Linked DNA regions of Notamacropus eugenii. The protein of the gene in region 1 interacts with the protein of each later gene in a biochemical or structural test. Links are inferred from orthologs where the notes say so. Each region holds a gene or a part of one and is shown on either strand. Other genes may lie near its edges. The genes, in order: RPS6KB1 and PDK1.

Region 1 (11,410 bases):
CCATAAGAACCCACACGCAGTTGAGAAACAATCTGGTCAAGAGTCAAAGCAATGCCACTTGTTAACCTTGTGACCTGGGTCAAACCACAATCTCTTTGGTGTTCAGGATTCTGCAGTTTTTCCTCTATTATGAAGAGAATAGACCAGATAATCTCTCTAATGATTTTGAAAATCAGTAAGGACCTATTACTTTACAACTCTCTACAGGGTCTAAATGAGAAAAAAAAGAAGGAATTAAAGATACAGGCAAGAAAGAGGTTTCTAGTTTCATTTAAATTATTATTAGAAGCAAAAATCATTAGAAAAAATTTCCATAGACCTATGTATTTGGGTAAGAAAGAGAAACAGGTCTAGGGAGATATAATAGAGAAGAACTGTCAGGTAGGAGGAAACATGGTTGAGAACAATGGATTTGGTGCTTCCTTCTTGTTCAAAGCCTCCTGAAACTTTTTTTTTTTTTTTTGGTTTCCAGCTCTTTTCTACCAGCAACAGAGCTCAGGTCACCTGTTTCCATTTCTCCTTCTATAGTCACCTCCTACTGTCTAAAATCAAGTTCTGATTTAATGCATTTAATGTCTGTTGACTGACTGGATCCACAATTTCAAGTTTATGGTTTCTTTAGATCCTTCAACTGTATACCAGTAACTCAAGTGAAATGTGAGTAAATCACTCTTACCCATATGCCCAATTATTTCCAGAACCTTGTTTCTGACAGAAATGTGAGTGTTGACCATACTTCCATCTGCTAGAATGGGCAGCTTTTAATAGTGTTTGACTGATCACTTTGGGCTCCATGTCAATAAGCAATGCTCGGGCAATTGGAACTAGAATGTAAAGAGGAAATACAAAATGTGGAAAAAGTTATCCCCACGCAGGATCATAAATTAAGAGCTGGGAGGGCCCTTACATGCTAATTCAGAGTATAAATTTACTTAATGAGAAAGAAAAGAGGGTATCTCTCACTCTGGTATGAAATCCAGGCAAGCAGCAAAAATACCAACATTATTCCTAGTGTTTAGCATTCCTATTGTTGGGATAGGAACTATTTTTACTATTTTAGTAGAACTATTTTTACTATTTATTATTTTTAGTATTTTTAATAATACATACGTTGGTGCTTGCTTTTCTGCTTAATAACCTCCTTGAAAATAGGTTGGACTGTTCCATTCTTTGTATTTGCACACAAATACAAGCCCTCTCTTCCAAAGAAAGTAAGTAACCAGTAGACTTCCAGGCTTAAACAAATACATATCAGTAATTTAATGCAATTAGTTCACAAGTCCAGGTGTTACTCCTAATCAAACAAACACAAGGGCGAGAATTCACAGAACCCACTCTGGACCTCAATGAAGAAACAGTAACTCAACTACTGTTACATATTCAGGTTATGTATCTGAGAAGTGGATAATTATCCCCTACCTTCAAATATTAGGAAGAACTACACCTTTTCAAGACAGTATCAGTATAGGCCCATAGCTTTATCACATCACTCTCAACATAAAAATGACTTGAAAACAGAACTTCCCAAAGAATTTTTACAACTAGTGTCTGTGATAAAGGCCTCATTTCTAAAATATAGAGAACTCAGTCAAATTTACAAGAATACTAGCCATTCCCCAACTGATAAATGGTCAAAGGATATGAACAGCAAGTTTTCAGAGGAAGAAATTAAAGCTACCTACATAGTCATATGAAAAAATGCTCTAAATCACTATTGATTAGAGAGATGCAAATCAAAATGACTCTGAGGTACCACATCACACCTATCAGATTGGCTAACATGACTAAAACAGGAAAATGACAAATGTTGGAGAAGATGTGGGAGACTTGGAAGAATACTAATTCATCTTTGGTGGAGCTGTGAGCTGCTCCAATCATTCTGGAGAACAATTTGAAACTATGCCCAAAGGGCTATAAAATTGTGCATACCCCTTGGACTCAGCACTACCACTTCTAGGGCTATATCCCAAAGAGATCATAAAAATGGGAAAAAGACCCACATGTATAGCAGCTCTCTTTGTGGTGGCCAAGAACTGGAAATCAAGGGGATGCCCATCAACTGGGGAATGGCTGAAAAAGTTGTGGTTTATGAATGTAATAGAACACTATTGTGCTATAAGAAAAGATGAACAGAACTTCAGAAAAAGCTGGAAAGACTTATGTGAATTGATGCTGAGTGAAGTGAGCAGAGCCAGGAGAACATTATACACAGTTAACAGCCACAGTATACAAGGACTGTTTTTGATAGACTTAGCTCTTCTCAGCAATGCAAGGACCTAAATCATTTCCAAAGAACTCATGATGCAAAATGCCATCTACATTCAGAGAAAGAAGTATGGAGTCAGAATGCAGAATGGAGCGACTATTTTCTCCTTTGTTATGTTTTATTTTGTTTTTCTCATGGTTTCTCCTATTTGTTTTAATTCTTCTATGCAACAAGACTAAGGTGAAAATGTGTTTAATAGGAATGCATGTGTAGAACCCATATAAAATTGCATGCTATCTTGGGGAGGGAAGGGGAAGAAATTTGGAATTTATGGTAGTGATTGTTGAAAACTGAAAACAAATTAATAAGTATGGGGGAAAAAAAAGAAAACCAAACTTCCCAATTTTAAATAAAAATTTCTTTGGCAACATTTGTTGAGTATCCACTGTATACAAAGCAACAGGTATTTAAAAAAAAATTAAATTGGATACAAAGAGACTTATGGACATTTCTTTTTGCTTCCTGCTTAAACAGGCAATACTTTTATTTTCCATAATTGGTATTCTAGGGTCAATATTTGTTAAAAGGAAAAAAAAGAAACAATGCGTTGTTCTCAATGTTTATCGCCACCTTAATTACATACCTCCACTTTTCTCCTCATTAAAGAAATGTTCTTTGCAAGATGCCTGATATACTTCATTTTCCCTCTTAGAGCAGAATCCCTGGGTATTATTTAAGTCTCTACATATGGCATCAAATACTTCATAACCAATCTGATTGCCACACTGACCAAGCTGAATTGTGACTATTGACATGGCGACCAAACCTTTTCCTACAAAGAAAGTGAATAAAGCAGAATAGGAAACAATCATGTCTTTCAAAATAACTACAGATTATCATCAAGGGCAAATAAAAACACATACGCATACATCAGAAAGTAATCACACATTAAGCAACATTATATAACAGTAATAACATTCAGGCTTAGCTGAAGGGAAAAACAGAACTTCGAAATTCCTAGATTATCTCTGACAGTGAATTAAAAACAGCATCAGAAATGTATTTCTGTCCCTGAAAATTACTTCGCTTTAAAAAAAGTTATCTTCTCTTCATGAGATAGGATGGTATTGTATTGCAAATATGCTTTCTTTGCTATGGGAAACTCCCAAAAAAACGAAACGTTTCAATATGAGTGACCCCTGCCCTGCTACTTAAGAGTCTTTCAGGGGTAGTTGCCTGAGGCAAGGAAGGTTCAGAGACTGGCCTGGATTCATATATGGGATTTGAAGCCAAGTCTCCTGATTCCAGGGTTGGATCTCTAATCATGACTGTGGATCTCTAACCATACTGTTTCTCATCTTCCTTTCATAATTAAGATACATACATTGGGAGTTACTATCTGTAATGAGGGAGTAGGAATACGCTAACTACTGGGAAATGAGTGCAAGCAGAGTACAAGGCAGATGGAGAGAAGTTTGTTGGTGAAGGTATGTGGTTAGAAAAAATCTTGTTTTTGGTATGATCCACAAGGCCTCATGACAGGTAGTATTATTGTATCTTTGGTAGTATGGAAGCCTGTCGCACAGCAAGAGAAAGATGTAATATGTTCTGGTCTGGGGGTTGAGGCCTTCAGACAACCATAAGCAGGCCCACTTAACCACTGGGCAGTAACTATTGTTTTATGGCAGTTCCCCATGCAGTATGCATAGCAAGCTTGTGCTTATGTGTGTGTGTGAGAGAGAGACTGAGGTTTTTTAAAACAGCTTTTTCAGGTAAATATTTTATTTTCTCTCTTCCCTATCTTCTATCTACAAAAAGAAAAGAAAAACAACACCCTTGTAACAAATATCAGTGGTATCTGATGCAGGTATTTTTCCTACTCTGCTGCTTCTCTTCTGATTCTTTCTTCACTGATTTTATTTGTGCCACTGTTTTTGTTTTTTGCCAGTTTGATAAATGTGAACTGATAACTCCAAGTTTTTTTAATTTGTATATGTTTGATTACTAATGAGACTGAGCAATTTTCAGGTAATTTTTCTGCATATGACATGAAAATTAATGAAGACATCAAACTGGTTTAGCAAAGGTGCAAGATATCCACATTAAAGATCAAGAAAACATCATGAAAAAACACTTTATTTACAATAACAACAAAAATTGGCAAACATTTGGCAATTAAGCTACCTACGAATATGTATAATCTGTAAGAGGACAGCTATATTTCAATGATTCTAGTTTTACAGGAAGATGTAAATAATTAAATATCAGTGATAATAACCACCACAGTTGAGATGATTGCTTGGATTTTTTTTTTTACTGAAGACATCAAAAGATCAGATGTGCCTTCATCAGTATGAGTACTATGGATGAGATTGAAACCTCTTCACACATTAGAATATAACTGTATTGTTTTGTTTTGGTGACACAACCAGTCAGACCACTACTTCTCAGTATCCTTCAATGGCTCTTCTTCCAAGTCATGCCCATTCATATGGGGGTCCTCCAAACCTCTGTTCTCTTTCTCTCTATGTTCTCCCATGTGGTGAGCTTATTAACTGCCAATGGTTCCAGATTTCCAGTGGATGATTCCCATATCTATATATTTTGCCTTAGTCTCTCTCTTGAACTCCACTCCCATATCACCAAGTGCTTATTCATAATGAATGTTCCGCAGGTACTGCAAACTCAACATATTCAAAACAGAACTCATTATCTTTCCCTATAAACCCACACTTCTTTCAAACTTTCCTGTTACTGTCAAAGGCACCACCATCCTTCCTGTCACTTTGTTATAACAACAAGCTTGGTGTCATCCTTGACTCCTCATTCTAATCTACTACACATATCAAACTAGTTGCCAAATTTTGACGTTTGTGTCTCCATTGAAACTCTCAGAACATAATCTTTTAAGTATGCAGACACATTTAGAAAGTGAAAAACAAAAGGTGCGTATCAATAAAAACTGAGGCACCATAAAGAATTTTTGACAAGCCTTCCTTCCTTTATCTGGAACATCAGATTCTCTGTCAATTTTTCCTCAAAGCAATGATTTTGTTTTTGCCAGTAGCAGAATACCCTACAGTTAGAGTGAGAATATATGGAGACTTCACCATCCTTCCAAGCTTAGGTGCCCAGCACCTCTATTAGCCCTTACAAGAAAAGTTCAGTCACTCAGTTCAGGCATTTACCAAGTGCCTACTTTGAGCCAGGCTCTCTGCAAAGGTGGGGATATAAAGAAGAACCAAACCAAAACAAACAAATGCCCCCCCCCCCGCCCTTCTCATGGCACTCGGGGTTTGATGGGGAAGACAACATACAACCATGGACAAACTATATACATACACACACACGTGTGTATGTAAAACATATACACACACACATATACATACACACACGTGTATGTAAAACACACACACACACACACACATATATATATATACATGTAAAATTGGGGTAGTCTCAGAGGGAAGGAAGGCGGCACTGCCCAACGCAGAGGAAAAGAGCTGTCAGTAGGTTAGTTGGCATTCAAGGCACAACACAGAGAGTAGGGTCGAGCTTTTCTTTGCATCCCTAGCGCTTAGCATAGTGCCTAACTAAAAGCTCGTGGACTTCACCAGAACAAGGAAAAAAACGGAAATAAAAAAGGCGGCGGGCTGGTCACCCGGCAACAGCCTCTAGGGCTCTCCATGGGGATGTCAGGCTTATTAATGTGACTGGGCAGGCACGGACGGTGGGGATCGGCCCAGTCGGAGGGAGAAAACCCCATCTACGAGACCACTGGTTGGGAGGCCGGAGACTTCCAACCCCGGCCCCGTGGGGGTCCTGGACAAGACACACGCCCTTTGTGGGGCTCAGTTTCCTCACCGGTACGATCAGGGGGCTGGCCCTGCCGCCGCCGGGCTCCAAGGTCCCTTCCAGCTCTTACTACGCTCCTACAGTGCCAGGTTTCTCCGGAGGCCCGCGGCGAACGTCTCCGACGGACAGGGTAGCAGCAGGGACTTGGTTTCACTGCAGAGGAGCTCAAAGACCAGGGAAAAGGAAGGCCGTGAGGCCCGGAGAGGAGGGCGGAAACCGCCCAGCGAGGCCACCTCGGCGAAGGCCCCAGCTCGAGCGAATGAGAAAGGAAGACTCCCTCATCTCGGGCCTAGGCCCTCACTCACCGACGGCTCCGAGTCCAGCCGAGCTTTAGGGTCTCTGCCACTACCCCCAGAATAACGGCTCTCCACTCACGCATGCTCACTGTCACCAACTCATCCCTCCCCAAACATCCCTCCTGCGCATGTTCGATGTCCGCACTCGAGACTTCAGAAGGATAAGTGCGCATGTTCCGTTCTGCGAACCCTTCTCTCGATAGTTCTCCCTCCCCTTCTTCAGCTGGTCCAAAGTTATATGCAAGTTCTGAGTTCAGTTCATCAATTTCAGAAACGATACGCATGCGCACAGTTTATCAAGCGCTGTTGGAGCAAGAGATACACAAGTTTATACCCTCGGCTTCAGGTGAGGTTATGCGCATGTCTAAGCCTCTACTTCGCTCCCAGAACAAGAGCTAATTTTGCCCATTGCCCATAGTTCGGCTTCATGGGTAGTTCTGCGCATGTGCAAATGGGTGAGCTTGCGGTGTGAGCCTAGGGCCTGAGCGCAGTCGCACTGATACCCGGCAGCTGGTGATGGCGGCGGCAGCAGCGGCGGCTGCGGCGGGTCCGGGCCCATGAGGCGGCGGCGGCGGCGGGACGGATTTTACCCAGCGCCAGACTTCAGAGACGGGGAAGCTGAGGCCATGGCAGGAGTTTTTGACATCGACCTGGACCAGCCGGAGGACGCAGGCTCTGAGGATGAGCTGGAGGAAGGGGTGAGGCCCGGGGTCGGGGGCTGAGCCGAGCCAGGCTGGGCCGGCTGGGCCGGGCGGAGGTGACAGGGCCGGGGCGTAGGCTCGGGCCTAGGGAGCCGGGCCGTTCCAGCGACCTCGCCTGCGGCGAGAGCCAGAGGCTGGGGCCAGGACGCAGGCCAGCGGAGCGGGAGGGCGGCCGGCGGCCGAGCAGCGGGCTCCGCTGTGGAGTCGGGTGGCGCGGCAGGACCAATCCCGAGGTGGGGGCGGCTGCTGACGGGCGCAGGTGCACCAAGCTCCCGGCCACCACCCCCTCCCGACCCCGGGTCTCTGGTGGCGGGGGTGGCGCGAGCTTCAGGGTGACCCTGGAGCAGCGGGTCTGGGAGGCGGCCGCGGGGGAGCAGGGAGGGGTGCTTGGTGCGGGGAGCTCAAGCTGCTCCCCAGCCTGGGGTCCCCGCTCCTTGCGCTCGCCCCGGCGACTTGGCGCCTGCCAAGCGTCCGCTCAGCTGTTGGATGACAGCTGAAAAGTTCTGCGGGCTGGGCTTTGCGGCAGCAGCCGCCCTGGGAGGGTGACCTGCAGGATGCAGTTTCGGGGGGAGGGTTACGGGGTGATTCTTTAAAAGCTGTTTACAGTGTAAAACTGTGATGCCCCTCTTCCCGATTCTCCCTCCGCCCGCCAGACAAGAGGTTTGTGCGGTTTTCTGATTTGGGAGTTGAAAAAACGGTGCCGGCAGCTGTGATTTGGCTTCCCCCAAATAAGTTGCTTTACCTGGGACTTGTTAAGTTGATGGTTCCAGGGCCACCTTGCTGTATGGTAGGACTACTTTCTAGCTTACTTTAAGTAGAGCTTGTTTTTGTCTTTTATTGTTCCTTTTGCAATATTTCTTTTTCCAGGCCAGATTGTACTTAAGGATTATTTATTAATTTTTAAGGTGTTTTTTAGAGTTGGCGAATCTAAAATAATTTATTTCTCTGCTCATGAACATCATTGGTAAGGCATATATTTTTGTACTTCAAAAGATCTGTGATTTCATTTCATCTTTGTGGGTAACCCTCCCCCCCAAGATGATCCCTTCACAGGCTTCACACCTTAATAGATACCCTTTTTTCCCCCCTCCTGGCCTGTGATTTCACCATCAGTGTAGGGTACACCTTAGAGGAAACTGAAGAGGTTGCATCCTTGTCAGGTCTTAATATGTAGTGTTTTTGTTTGTTTTTGTTCTTATCTGTAATTGTATCAACCTGAGGGGGAACTCGTGAGGAATTGCCTACTGCTACTGCACATATAAAATGTATGGTTTGAATTTCCTGGAACTCTGAGAGGTTAAGCTAGTATGTGTCAGCTTGGGAAAATTTCTTGGCCAATTCTAGTATATAGTTTTGTGAGTTGATATGGCCAAAATAATTCATTACAGTCAGCGTTTTGATGATGAATTTTTCCAAGCTTAGACTGTTCCTATAAGAACATTTGTTAATAACAGTAATTAATGGCTAGTGTGTTACATGTGGTAGACACATATATGTATATATACACATGTATGTATATACATATATATACACATACATATACATATATACACTCGTTACTTTCAGGCTTGGTGAACGCTTTATCATCTCATTTTTTATTGGCCCTGTACTCCATCCTTTCTAGCTTGGTAAGACTTACCACTTCTAGAACCTAATATCACCACCACATCCTGATGAGACATCATCCTAGGTCTTTAGACATGAGATTTAAAAATATTAATGAGTTGGATATTGAAAGTTCTATTTTGCTTCTCATTTTCCTTTTAAATTTAAAAAAGAAAATTCAAATAGAATAGTAATCTGAAAGTTGAGTAATTTAGCAACACTTTGCTTGTGTTATTGGGATGTTATTTAACTGCCCAATTCCATCCTCATCCCCTCAAACAATAGTAACGTTTGCATATTATCAAACTGATAAATGTTAGGGTTAAAAGATGTCATATATATACATATATATGTAAAAACATACACACATATATTATAGATAATATTTATACACACATACATACATGTATATATTTATGTAAAAGACATGTATAAATAAAAGATACCGTTATGTATGTACATGCAATATATATTTATAGGAATACATTTTCTATATGAAGATCTTTGAGTATCTTAAAGGGAAGTTAAAACAGGAATGAATAATGCTGTTCTTTTCATGATCATCTTTACCCTCTAAATCTACCACTTCTCCCAACTTCTTTATTTTTCTTTAGTATCATGCTCCTAGTTTTGTAACTCAAAAAGTAATCTTGACTCCCTTGTTCCCCAGATCCACTTAGTTTACGTAAACTTCATAACATCTCTCCCATCAGTTCCCTTCTCTTTGCTCACAGACTGCACCCTAGATCAATTCTGAATCTTTTCTTTCATGATTATTATAATGATCTCTTAATTGATCAGTACTTTTATTTTCCACCCTCTCCAATCTGTCTTTTCACTGACTTGCTAAAATACTCTTCTTGAGGCACTGATCTGATCATGTTATTCCTCTGCTTAAAAAGCAACTGTTTCCTTGTTGCCTCTACAAGAGAACAAACCCCTCCACCAAGCTTTTGAAAGCTCTTTAGCTCCAAACTGCCTTTTCATACTTATTTCTACAACTTTCCCTTCAGGCAGGCTACTCACTGTTGCCTGAGCTCTCCAGCTTCTTTGTATTTGCATAAGCCTGCCTTGGTTCTAGGAAGGCCCTTCACTCCTTAATAGCTCAGCTCAGATGAAGTTCCTCCCCCTATTTTCTCCTGCCCCCCAGCTAGTAATTCTCTGTTTGTCTTTCCTTGGATTTATAGGCTTCTTGAGGGTAGAGACTGTTTCATTTTAATTTGTACCCTACCCTGTTTTACTCATAGGCATTAAATAAATGTAATGGATTAAACATAAGACTGGGCTTGTGATTTCCTTGGTATAGGTGAGGAAACTCCTTCTAATAATGCAGGTCAGTACCTTCACTGCTAACTAGTTTTAAGAGTAATCCAGAGCATTGTTAATTTGCCCAGGGTCACATAGCCAGTTTATGGCAGTAACAGAACTTGAACTTGGATCTATCTTGTTGATTTCAAAGCCATCTCTATTTGTAACATCACACAGCCTCTCAAAAATAAATGAAATTTCTTCATATGAAAAATAAATGTCTATTGAATTGTCAAGTCGAATTAAATCTCAGAGTTATTTTAGAGAAGTGCGTAGTCTGGTAGGGAGGGTAACTTGTTGCAAGATTTTTCAACTCAGTTCTATGTTCACATTAGCCTAGTGCTTGGATTTTGATATTATTAGAAACTACATCACATATTAAATACTATTTGAAATAAAAAGGTGACTCTGACCCTGCCATCTCAGTACTTATGTATTCTTTGACATGATATACTTTTATTAGTTGAATTGACAATTTTAGAATTAAGGTTTATCATCTTTTTAAAATGTTTGAATTTTACACTGGGGACAGCTAGGTGGTACAGTGGATAGAGTGCCAACCCTGAAGTCAGTTGACTTCTGACCTCAGACACTTACTAGCTGTGTGGCTCTGGGCAAGTCACTTTGCCCTGTTTGCCTCAGTTCCTCATTTGTAAAATGAGCTGGAGAAGGAAATAGCAAACCACTCCAGTATCTTTGCCATGAAAAATGTATCTGAAGAATCAGATATGACTGACCAACATACTTTTATACTTGGAAAGATTTGAAAAAAGTTCAAATACTAGGAAATTATTCTCATTTCCTTTTAATATCTATGAAATATGCTTTTCAAAAATTTTACTGTTCAAACCAATATATTCCTCTTGTTTTGGAGAAATACTCAATCAGAAAACTTACTTTGGAATTGTTTGTTGGTATTATTGAACCACATTGTGAACTACATCACTTATTGCCAAACAGCCAGCACTTAGTTTGCCCTCAGCATGATGTAGTGGAAAGAGTATTAGATCTAAATCAAGAGATTTCGGTTTCAAGTGTACGTGCTCTGCCACTTCAGCCCTCTAAATTTAGGCAACTCACTGTACCTTTTTTCTGGTCCTTGATTTCATCATCCAAAAACTGAGGGAGCTGGACTCTGGAATTTTTAAAGAACATTTTCCATTCTACATTTTACTGAAGTATGATTTATTGATAAATGCAGTTATTTTGGCAGTGGTGTGTATTTTGAAGTGTCAGATAAGCAGTCGGATTATACCTCATGGTATGCCAGTATAACCCCATTTAGAAAGGGGCAAGCCTTTGTGAGTGTGTGGGCACAAAGACTTCAAGTCCCTGTTAATTAGTTTTTTGATACCTAGAAGACTAAAACAATCTTTCAAAGAGGAATAGACTATGCATTTATAAATAATAGTGATAGCTAGCATGCACATTGCAATTTA
Region 2 (11,305 bases), on another chromosome or scaffold:
AAATAGTATGTGTGAACATTTGGGGTGGATACTCTAAATTTGCATGTCTTGAGTTTCCTTTGAGCTACTTCAATTCTGCTTTGCTCTCAGAGCATAGCACCTTCTCTGATGTGGGTGTGCCATGCTGAGCAGTCCTGTGCCAGTGTCTCCCATGTCACAAAATCAATTTGAAAGTTCTTAAGATTCACCTTGAGAGTGTCCTTGTTTTGCTTCTGATGACCATGTGAATGCTTGCCCTGTGTGAGTTCAAAAAACATCCTTTTTGGCAAGCTCACGTTTTGCATTCAAACAACACGGCCAGTTCATCGTTGCTGTGCTCTCTGAAGCAGTGTGAATGCTTGGCAGTTTAGTTCGAGTAAGGGTCTCAGTGTCTGGTACCTTATCCTTCCAGGTGATCTTCAGAATATTCCTAAGACAATTCAAATGTAAGTGATTCAGTTTCCTGGCATGGCACTTATAGACTGCCCAGGTTTCACAGGCATAAAACAATGAGTTCAGCACAACAGCTCTGTAGACCTTCTGTCTGGTAGTCAATCTAATACCTCTTATCTCCCATACTTTCCTTTAGAACCTCCCAAACAATGAGCTAGTTCTGGCAATGCATGCATCAACCTCATTACCAATGTGTACATCCCTAGAAAATACACTACCAAGGTAAGTGAACTTATCCACAGCATTCAAAACTTCTCCATTTGCTGTAACTAATGGTTCCATGTATGGATGGTGTGGTGGTGGCTGAAGGAACACCTGTGTTTTCTTGGTGTTAATTGTTGGGCCAATATTAGCACAAGAAGCAGAGAATTGATCCATATTTTGTTGCTTCTCAACTTCAGAGGCTGCATTGAGTGCACAATCATCTGCAAACAGAAAATCATGCACCAACATTCCCTCCACTTTGGTCCTGGCTTGTAGCTTTTTCAAGTTGAAGAACTTACCATCAGTGCAGTAGCTGACCTTGATGCCGTGTTCATCCTCATTGAAAGCATTTGAAAACAAGGCTGAAAACATCATGCTAAAAGGCATGGGAGTAAGCCTTGGTTTACTCTATTGGTGACTGGGAGGGCACAAGAACATTGTCCATTATCTAGAACCCGGGCCAGCATGCCATCATGAAATTGATGATCAATGCTGATGAATTTCTCCAGGCAATCAAATTTTGACATAATTTTCCATACGCCCTCACAACTAACAGTATCAAAGGCCTCAGTCAGATCTACAAATGTATACAGATCTCTCTTTTGCTCCTGGTATTTCTCCTGGAATTGTCAGGCAGCAACCATATCAGTGCTCCTCAGCCCTTTCTAAAGCCATACTGGCTCTCAGGTAGATGATCATCTTCCAGCTGAAGGATTAGGTGAAGGAGAACTCTGGCAAGAATCTTGCCAGCAATGACTAAGAGAGAGACCCCCTGTGATTGTCACAGGACAATCTATTTCCTTTACCTTTACAGGGAACACTTTGTTGCTAACTTGGAGGAAAAGTTGAGCAAACACACACACAGCTGGCAACAGTGGAGCAGAAAACAAGTGGGTGGCTTTCAGAGATTTGGTGTACAGTGTTGCATTTGCTCATCACGAAAATGATGGGGAAATTCAGAAGCTGCTAAATGAAAAATGAGAACTCTACAGGGCTTACCAGAAGGATAGTTCATCCATCTCTAAGAAGGCAGCATTTAATTCCATCAAAGGTAAAGTACAAGCAAAGCTTAGAGAGATGCAGGATTCTTGGTTCTGTAAGAAGGCAGATGAAATTCAGTTTTATTCTGATAGTAACAATCCAAAACACTTTTATGATGCCCTGAAGGCTATTTATAGGCCAAAGACCTATGGTGCATCTCAGTTACTCAGTGCTGATGGAGCCAGTTTGATTAGCAATATGATCCTAGAGATCTGAACACTTCCATAGTGTACTCATCATCAATCAATGCTGAGGTCATTGACTATTTACCTCAGGTTGAAGTCAATCCGTTCCTAGCTGAAGCTCCAAGTAAAGAAGAGGTTCTGCGTGTCTTTCAAGCACCTGGTGCTGATTCTATTCTAGCTGAGATTTACAAGGTAGAGGGTCCATTGCCCATACAAAAGCTGACTGAAATTTTCCAAGTTATATGGCAAGAGGAGGTAATCACCCAGGAATTCAAAGATGCCTCTATTGTCCATCTGCTGAAATGTGTTGTTTCAGGGTTATGTTAGTAGTTATGCAGTGTTATGTTAGGAAGTAGCTAAAATATAATTCATATCACAAGTGTTATTAATATGTTTATGTGCAGTGTCCCTCCAGTGGAATGTGAACTTGTTAAGAGCACCTCTATCAGTTTTGTCTTTGTGTGCTCAGACCTAGCTGATTGTTTATTTACCAAATGTTTGTTAAATTGAAATCGAATTACAGCTCCTAGTACATTTTTCTTTCAAGCACCATATTCACTTCTGTCTCTTAATTAGTAGAATTCAAAAGAGCTTTTAAACACAGTAACAGATTAGGATCATACACATTTTATTACCTTAAATAGCCAATTCCAACAGTTAAAAATAGCAAGCTTCTGTAGTGAGACATTCCATTCTTCTCCCCTCTTCCACTTGTGATTAAAATATAACTGAACTTTGTGTACTAGTTTTCGCTGTATGATCAAGCACCAGTAATTCTTCAAATTCCCTTTGCTCTTTTCTACTATGAGTTCTTCTAGGAAAACAAAAAAATGAAACCTATCTAAATTTCCAAACAAAAGTCAATACACTACAATACCCAGGAACTGAAAGGAGGAAGGGGGTGATGCTGAAATTTTTTCTGAGTTTTCATGACACTACTCTCTCCTGGCTCTCTTCCTACTTGAATGAACATTCTTTCTCAGTCTCCTTTGTAAATTTATCATCTATATCATGCCCCCTAACTTTGGATGTACCTCAAGGTTCTGTCCTTGGTCACCTTCTCTTCTCCTTCTTGGTAGTCTCATCAGTCTTGTGGGTTTGACTACCATCTCTATGCAGATGACACCATCTATCTATCTATCTATCTATCTATCTATCTATCTATCTATCTATCTATCTATCTATCTATCTATCTATCTCCAGTGCTAGTAACTATTCTGAACTTTAGTCTTGTATCACCAAATGACCATTAAACCTTTTGGAATGGCTATCTTAAGCTAAACATATCCAAGACTGAACATGTTATCTCCTTCTAAACCTATTCCTCTTCTAAGCTTCCCAATTTCTGTTGAAGTCACCATCACCCTTCCAATCTCCCAGGTTTATAACCTTGGTATTATCTTCAACTCATTCTCCCTCATCTATTGAATCTTTTGCCAAATCTTGTATTTCCACCTTCATAGTATCTCTTCCATCAAACTTCTTATCTTCATTCAGAAATAGCTACTACCTTAGTTCAAGCTGTCATCACCTCTCACCTAAATTATTGCAATGTCTCTTAATTAGTATTCTTGACTCATGTCTTTTCCTACTCTAATCCATTTTATACACAGCTGCCAAAGTAATTTTTCTTAATCACAAATCTGACCATATCAATTTCCTGCTCAATCAACTGGAAGTTTCCAACTGCTTCTAGAATAAACTATAAACTTCTCTGATTACTTTTAAAACTTTGTACAATCTGGACAAAACCTACCTTTGCTGCCTTATTAGGATTACTTCTCCTCCTGCACTCTCCAAACTGGTCAAACTGGCCTTCTCTCTCTGTTCCTCACACAGGAGACTGTCTCCTATCTCTATGTTTGTACTGACCCATGCCTGAAATGCACTATCTTCTTATCTTTGCCCCATAGAGTCCTCCTCTTCCTTCTAAAATGAAGCTAAGGAATTATCTTCTGCATGAAGCCCTTCCTGATCTTCCCAGTTGCTAGTACAAACTAATTTGCACACATTTGTATTTATTCACATACACATGTCCTTGCTGTCTCCCCTATTAGAATATAAGATTCCTGTAAATAGGGTTTCTTTCATTCTTTGTATTTGTTTTACCAGAGCATGACACAGTGGGCAATTAATAAACACTTGTTGATTCATTGTTAATTGGTGAATTTAATTTTCCCCTCCTTAATTATGAGGTTCAGTAAGTTTGTTTTAATTATTATTGTCCATACTCTACAATGTGTAATAGATAGTGCAATCTTTGTGTTTCAATGTTACTGAAAATTAATTATCTTTTGGCATTTTTTTCTTTTTTTATAGCATGTACTTGGAGATGGTGGGATCTTTGAAGCTATTTATGGTTGCCTTTTTACCTCCTGGGCTGCTTCATGTTTTTTGCCCCTAAAGCCACCTGGCTTTGGACTATCCCATGACAGCTGGTCTGCTATTTTTTGAGGTTTTTTTCCCCCACCTGTCAGCTACATTACATTACTTAAAGTTGGGCTTCAGTGTCTACCTGCAGCATTTTTCCCATCCTCCAAATTTGTTGTGGCCATATTTTGGCTTAATGTTCAGGAATTACCTATATTTCGTGTTGACCAAGGATTGAGATTGGATTGAGATTCTCCCTTCTCAGACACTGATTTTGATCTGGTTTCAACCATGGTACAGCATTTCTTGCAACCCTTGTAAAGTCTATATATAAACAACAATTCATAGATCTTCACCATGTTCTAGATTAGGCTGGGGCATTTTATCAGGCCTCTCAAGGTTTGCTTAGGCCTTCCCTAATCTTTACCTAAGTCCAGAAAAAGAGGTTGACAATTTTGTCACAATAACAAGAAAAATGGCCCTGGGTTGGGAAGAGCAAAACCCTCCATTAAAATATGGGTTTTTCTTCAACTTGAGGATCTAGAGAGTGTTGTAGACTCAGGTAACATAATAATTCTCACATTCTTCTTTCCAAGGCTGCCAGTTCTACAGGTACAGAGGTCAATTAAAACTTTAGTGGGGGTGCTGCCTGGATAGCCACTTAAGTTCAGGAAATGAAAGGGGTGGGAAGCAGAGGTGAATCAAAGCTATTTAATTCTGTGATGGCAGAAGAATTTGATGTTTTCTTTACTCATAGTGGAATAAGGAAATGGAGGACTTGAGTTCTGATCCTATTGTGGGATGATTCCTTCTTTCTTTCATCCCCTAGTCCCTGTGTTTCAGTTTTTCTTTTTATTAGCCCCACTATAGTGCCATACATGCCAACTTCTTTTAAGACGGGGGTGGAGGGTGAGAAAGGTGAAGTGAGATGATGACCTAATTGGTCTCCCTGCCTCCAATCTCTCCCCTCTGATTTATCCTCCAAACAGCAGTACAGATCACATATCAGGACCCCACTGAATCTCCTTATGCCTTTTTTTCGTTTTTACTCAGATGACTGGGAAGATAGTCAGTAGCCTGAGCCTAGTTCCCTTCAACATTCAACTGAAGAGCCATCTCCTACAGAAGACTTATCTAGATCTCCATATTTGCTAGTGCCCTCTCTCCAGGAATTACTTTGTCTATATTTTGTGTTTACTTATTTTTATGTTGTTTCTGTGCAATAGAAAGTAATATCCTTAAAGGGCAGTGATGGGCTTTTTTTTTTTTTTTGACCCTTTGCATCCCAGGATTAGGAGAGTACTTTGCAGTCTGTATACAAGTATACAAGCATTTATGAGCTGGGCTGTGTTCTAAACTTTGTGTTCCATTCTTCCTTTTTGAAGAGGACCATGACATCAGAGAAATGATGACATGACTTGCACTTGACTTTGTTTTGAGTGAGGGGGAGCTGTGCAAGGTCACCAACTTCACTGTCCCCTCCTGAGCCATTTGGATCCAGTGTCCAAATATTCATCAGGATGACCAGAGAAGGCCCAGGATGCAATGGGTTTAATGAGCAAAAGAAAAAAAATAAGTAAATCAAGCTGGTAGGGAAAGAGCAACAGTTACCGTTGATAACTCTGGAGATACAAATGAAGGAAAAACATGGCCACTGCCCTTAAGGAAGCTTCCTTTACCATGCAGCAACAATGTATTCATAAAATATATACAGTGTAAAATGGGAAGTAATCACATAGAGGAGACACAGGAGAGCGTGTTGAATGAATTAACTTTCTCTTGAGTTCTCTCTGGTGAGTCTATCAATGTTACTCTAATTCCCTCATGCCTCAGAGCAGCTCTTTTAAATAACTGAACAAAAGGATGATGATCCTGTCTTCCCCTTCCCCCCACCCCTCCATCCTATAGGTAAATAGGTCAAGGCATCCGTAGGGCGGTGGCATCTTCCCGTGCCTTTGTGAAGGCAGGAGGGGTCCTAAGCGAAGCCAGGTGGCATTAATGCCAATGCTAGGGAGGGTGGCTGGGGGGTGCGAGCCGCGAACGTAGTAGTAAAGCACTCGCGTCCTAGCCCTTCCAGGCTCATTCAGGAGTGGGCTGCGGACCCCTTCCCCCCCACCTCACCCTCCTCCACAGCTGGAGCAAGGCACAGCGCGCTCCTTCGGGTGAAGCGAGGCTAAGCAAAGCCAGGCCTAAAGAAAGTGGAAGGCGCCCGAGTCCCAGCGGGTTTCGAAGGACAAAGCACTCACGTGCCTCCCCCACGATGGGAAGGGGCGGGGAGACGCCGGGCTCCGCCCCTCCCCTCCTGGGGGCGGGGCACTCAGCTCCCTGGTTCAGGCGCCTAGCCTAACATGGCGCGGAAGGCCCCGCCTCTTCCGGCCCCCCCACGACTCCCTGCACGTACGCGCCACGGAAGCCAGGAGCCGGGCACGCGATGGCGCCTCTCGGATTTGGGTCTCCTTTTTCTTTACATCTTCTGGAACGTATTTCACTATGAGGTTAATAAGGTACCTACGACGGGCAGCCTCGGCCGGTCCGGGCCCAGGTCCCCCCCCAAGCTGGAGTCCCGGTGCCGACCTCGAGCGCAGCGTCCCGGGCCAGGTGGATTTCTACTCGCGCTTCTCCCCGTCCCCGCTCTCCATGAAGCAGTTTCTGGACTTCGGTGAGCGGCTTCGCGCTTCTCCGGGGGGAGGCCCTGGAGGGTCCCGGTGACGGGCGGGGGAGGAGGGGAGGACGCTGCCCGCGCCCGCCCTGGGGTCCCTCTGCCCGGCTCCCTCTCCCCCGGCCCGCCCTCGGCTGTCGGGTGCTCCGCCCACCTCTGTGTCCAGGTCTCTCTCCGTGCTCTCGTGTCTGCCTCCTTCCCACCTTTCCCTGTTTTGCCTTTGCGTCCTCATCTAGTGTTTTTTCTATGCGTTTTATTTGGTGCATTTCTCATTTTTAAACAAAAACTAGGAGTTAGAAAAGTCATCTGGTGTCGGAGCGAGGGAAAGACAAGGAAGCGTTTCGGGGCCTCGTCCGTTGCCAATTGTTCTTTTTGTCTGCTTTGTTTTATTTTATCTGTTTATTTTTGACGTAAGCAGGACTCACAGTTGCGGACGCAGTGTCTGACACAAGCCACAGTTTTATTTGTAATAAGCAACAGGGACCAGGAATGATGATAAATCCTCATTTCGGCACAAATCCCTTCATCTCTTGGGCAGTGGCAAATGCTCATGATGGCCGTGTTGCTGCTGTTTATTGGTGTAGAATTTTTCTTTTCCCAAGATTACTGTTCACTTTTTTTTTTAAGGAAGCAACTAATCATCTAGACTTGTGAAAGAAAACATATTTGGCTCCTTTTCTTGAAAGAGAATCATACTTTTCTAGGCATTGAGATGAATTAGACCATGAGCTCCTGCAGGGTCAGGGACATCTCTTTGGCTCCTTCCGCTTTGCTTGGTCTCTCCAGTGCTTAAATACTCAGGACCAAATGAAGATGAATAATTGTAAAAGTGCAGGACCTGGCACATGAGTGCTTGGTAAATGCTTATGAACTGATAAATGTTGATAACCCAGGGAAAGTATTTTAATTTTAAACAAATATTGAATATAATAACCTGCTTGAACACGATGCTATGGGACTCCGTTTTTTGGTTAACACAAATCTGTGACTACTTTTAAGTAACTTATAGTCTAGTTTTCTTCCCGTTCAAATTGATGATTCTTTTAAAGTTTTCCCTAAATGAAAGAAGATATTTTGCCGATTATAGAAAAGGAAAGAGGTGGTTGCATTTAAAAAGCCTTTAGGACTTAGTTTATTTATTGCCTTCTTCTTGGACAAAGTCAAACATGCACTAATATTAATAATAATGTTTATATATGTTCCAGGCACTATGCTAAGCGCTGTACAATTATTATCTCATTTGATCTTCACAATAGTCCTGAAGATAAGTGCTATTATTATCTCCATTTTCCAGATGAGGAAACAAAGAAAAACAGGTTAAGTAACTTGCTCAGGCTGCTAGTAAGTTTCTGAAGTCCACTTAGAACTCAGAGAAAAAAGGGAAAAGTAGAAAACTTCTAGTAAGTAATCTTTGGGAAAAAAAACTCCATAGTCCGGTGCTTGGGTAAAATAACTTACTCTTTTTTTGCTCTCAGGCTTCACTGCAGTGTCCTAAGAGAGCACTCATAGCATAACATTGATGATTTCATTATTTTAAAATAAAGACTCCTATAAGGTTTGTTTATTTTGACTAGAAAACCTCTACATGTTTTTATTTTTACTTGTAATTTGAAACAATTATTCTGATAGTTAAGACCTAATCATTACCTCAGTATTCCATCAAATCTGACTTTTAGGAGAAAGTGTTTTCCTTTAAAGCTTTTGAGACAATATGGTATGAAGAAGCATTGCATTGTGGTGGAAAAAGTGCTTTTCTGGAGTAAGGAGAAGCAGGTTATGTCCTGGCTCTCCCACTAATTGCATGACCTGAGACAAGTAACTGAACTTTTGCAAAAATGGATTTACTGCATCAAAAAAAAATGTATACCTAAAAACATGAGTTAAGATTAAGAAACATTAAAATGCGTAGTATAGTTGTAATTTTAACAAGTTGCCCTTTTTCATTTTAATTATAATGGACTATTTTACATATTTCCCATCTAGATATTAATATTGTAGAATAGAAAATAGGATAAAATACAGTTTATCCTGTAGTAATGTAGGAAATTTCAAAGCATCTATAGTAGCTTCAAGAGGAAGAGAAAAGGTTTCATCACTGGTCTGAGAGTGGCTGCAAAGTAGGTATGGTAATGAAGCATACTTTAAAAGAAAAAAACCTCTTATTTTTGGTATTTTAATTACAATTATCGCTATGTGTAGGACATACTGATCCCATTTAGTGTAATATGAGTGAACGCAAAAGCACAGTGATGGCTCCCATCAGAACAGTTTGATCAGTATATTTAGTCTAACTTCTTAAAGAATATATATTTCTCAGACTTATCTTCCCCCTAAGATTAAAGAATCCTACAATTCCTTCAGCAAGACTCCAGACTTTTTTATCTGGATAGTGAATCAAGAAACCATTCTTTTGAATGGAATGTTTGGTAGAAATTTAAAAGAATGTTGGTGGTTATTTATCTTATGTTATCATTGAGATTTCTTAAGTCAGTGATCTATCATGGTAAAATGGTAAAAGGCAAAGATCTAGTCATTGGCAACTTTGGTTTTTTTCTTGGTAAATCTACACTTCTTTCTAGGAAGAGTTGACTTCTTCTTGAAGACTTATGATTTTCTATCTCTTACATATTTCCTTGTTTCCCTTAAGGTTCAGTTTTCAAACAGTATGACAACTTTGTAAGCAGATATTTTCAGAATTTCACGGTTTAAGAAACAAAGAACGAATATGAAAGCAACTTTTGGTGGAGGAATAATTTTGTTCTTGTAGAATCACATTTTCTTCACACTTCCATTTTGATTTCCAAATTCCTTTTGTTTCAGGATCTGTGAATGCATGTGAAAAGACCTCATTTATGTTTTTGCGGCAAGAGTTGCCAGTGAGATTGGCAAACATAATGAAAGAAATCAGTCTTCTTCCAGATAATCTTCTAAGAACACCTTCAGTTCAGCTGGTACAGAGCTGGTAAGAATCCTGTCTTGTTTTTGCAATATTAGTGGAGAATATTTTGCCTTATATTAAACATGATCGTCATTGGACTACCAGAATTATAAGCAGCCTTTATTTGGTGGTGTATGTATTTGTTCCCTAAGTCCTATTAGACATTGCTATTCTTTTCTTTGAGAGAAGCAGTACTGCACAGAAATGTGAGTGCCACAGTTAAATATGTCTTGTGATTTAGTTCTTGTTAAATTTTACAGGAATGATTTTTTTTAACACTCTAAAATTCATACAAATGCAATCAGTATGGGTAAATGTATTTTAAAAGCACACATTTTTAACAAATGGATTGATCCAATTGTGAAGACATCTTCGGTTTTATAAGCTATATTTTAAAAAATTGGTTTAATCTTTTTATTAATAAATGATTTTATTAATCATTTTCAAGTAATTGCCTTTGTCTTCACTATTGCTATTTCTTAAGCATTGTAAACATTTAACAAAAGAATTGATCAAGATAAAATTTGAATGAAAAATAATTTAGTTACAAAAACTTTATTCTTCGATTATGATGATTATTTTAAGAGATTTTAGTGTCTTTTTTTTTCTTTTGTGGAAATTATGCATCTGTGAGAGAATCTGAGAGAATCTGCTCTTGCATATCCATTTTTTAAATTCATAAAAGAAACAAGTGGGCCAAAATTAGCATAATCATATTAATTTTTTTAAATGACAATATAGCTTTAAGCATTAAACTGTTAGAGATTTGATTAAGCACAAATTATTATGCATATTTGTGTCTGAAAAAATGTATATAATATACATTCATACACATTCATACATATACTGAAATGACTGAACCACATGGGGTGGGGAACCTGTGGCCTTCTAGGTCTTCAAGTGTGACCTTTTGACTGAATCCAAACTTCGTAGAGCAAATCCCCTTAATAAAAGGATTTGTTCTGTAAAACTTGTACTTTTGAACTATACCACCATTTTTTGAATTAAAGACATGTCCAAGAGTTACTTAGAGTGAAGATACAAAATTTAAGGAAAAAAAATACAATAGAATGAGATCTTAAGATTCTTGAGTAATATCCTGTCTAAGGTATCATCAGAAAGAGGGAATATAGACTAGTTTTTTAGTAAATATAAAAAAGTATCTCTTCAACAATTAATGCACTGCTAACATGACACCATAATATTGTTCCTGATCAAAAGGTGATATTAGAAATACATTTGTAGTATTTTTATAGATTAAGGTCTTGGAACATAATAAGTTCAAATTTAACTTGGGGATTTACATTTTAGGTACATTCAGAGTCTGCAGGAGCTTCTTGATTTTAAGCATAAAAGTGCTGAAGATGCTAAAGCTGTTTATGAGTGAGTATATTCTTGATCCCATTCCTGTAATGCCTTTTACTGCTTAATTTCAGTCTTCTAAACGCTATTCCATAAAGCAAATACGTTGGACTT

Evidence for each region.
Region 2: the proteins of RPS6KB1 (region 1) and PDK1 form a complex in vitro, tested with the Homo sapiens proteins (2 studies listed by BioGRID and IntAct, with this or other methods). The link is inferred for Notamacropus eugenii from reciprocal best matches to the Homo sapiens genes RPS6KB1 and PDK1.

What each region holds. Positions count from the first base shown.
Region 1 is NC_092873.1:372,680,515-372,691,924, forward strand, and holds the start of RPS6KB1 (ribosomal protein S6 kinase beta-1), read left to right. Parts: upstream 1-6,825; 5' UTR 6,826-6,914; coding exon 6,915-7,055; intron 7,056-11,410. Other genes in the region: TUBD1 (tubulin delta chain), read right to left, coding at 677-824, 2,850-3,021. UniProt on the Homo sapiens protein: Serine/threonine-protein kinase that acts downstream of mTOR signaling in response to growth factors and nutrients to promote cell proliferation, cell growth and cell cycle progression.
Region 2 is NC_092876.1:234,411,611-234,422,915, forward strand, and holds the start of PDK1 (pyruvate dehydrogenase (acetyl-transferring) kinase isozyme 1, mitochondrial), read left to right. Parts: upstream 1-6,603; 5' UTR 6,604-6,722; coding exon 6,723-6,891; intron 6,892-9,711; coding exon 9,712-9,853; intron 9,854-11,140; coding exon 11,141-11,212; intron 11,213-11,305. UniProt on the Homo sapiens protein: Kinase that plays a key role in regulation of glucose and fatty acid metabolism and homeostasis via phosphorylation of the pyruvate dehydrogenase subunits PDHA1 and PDHA2.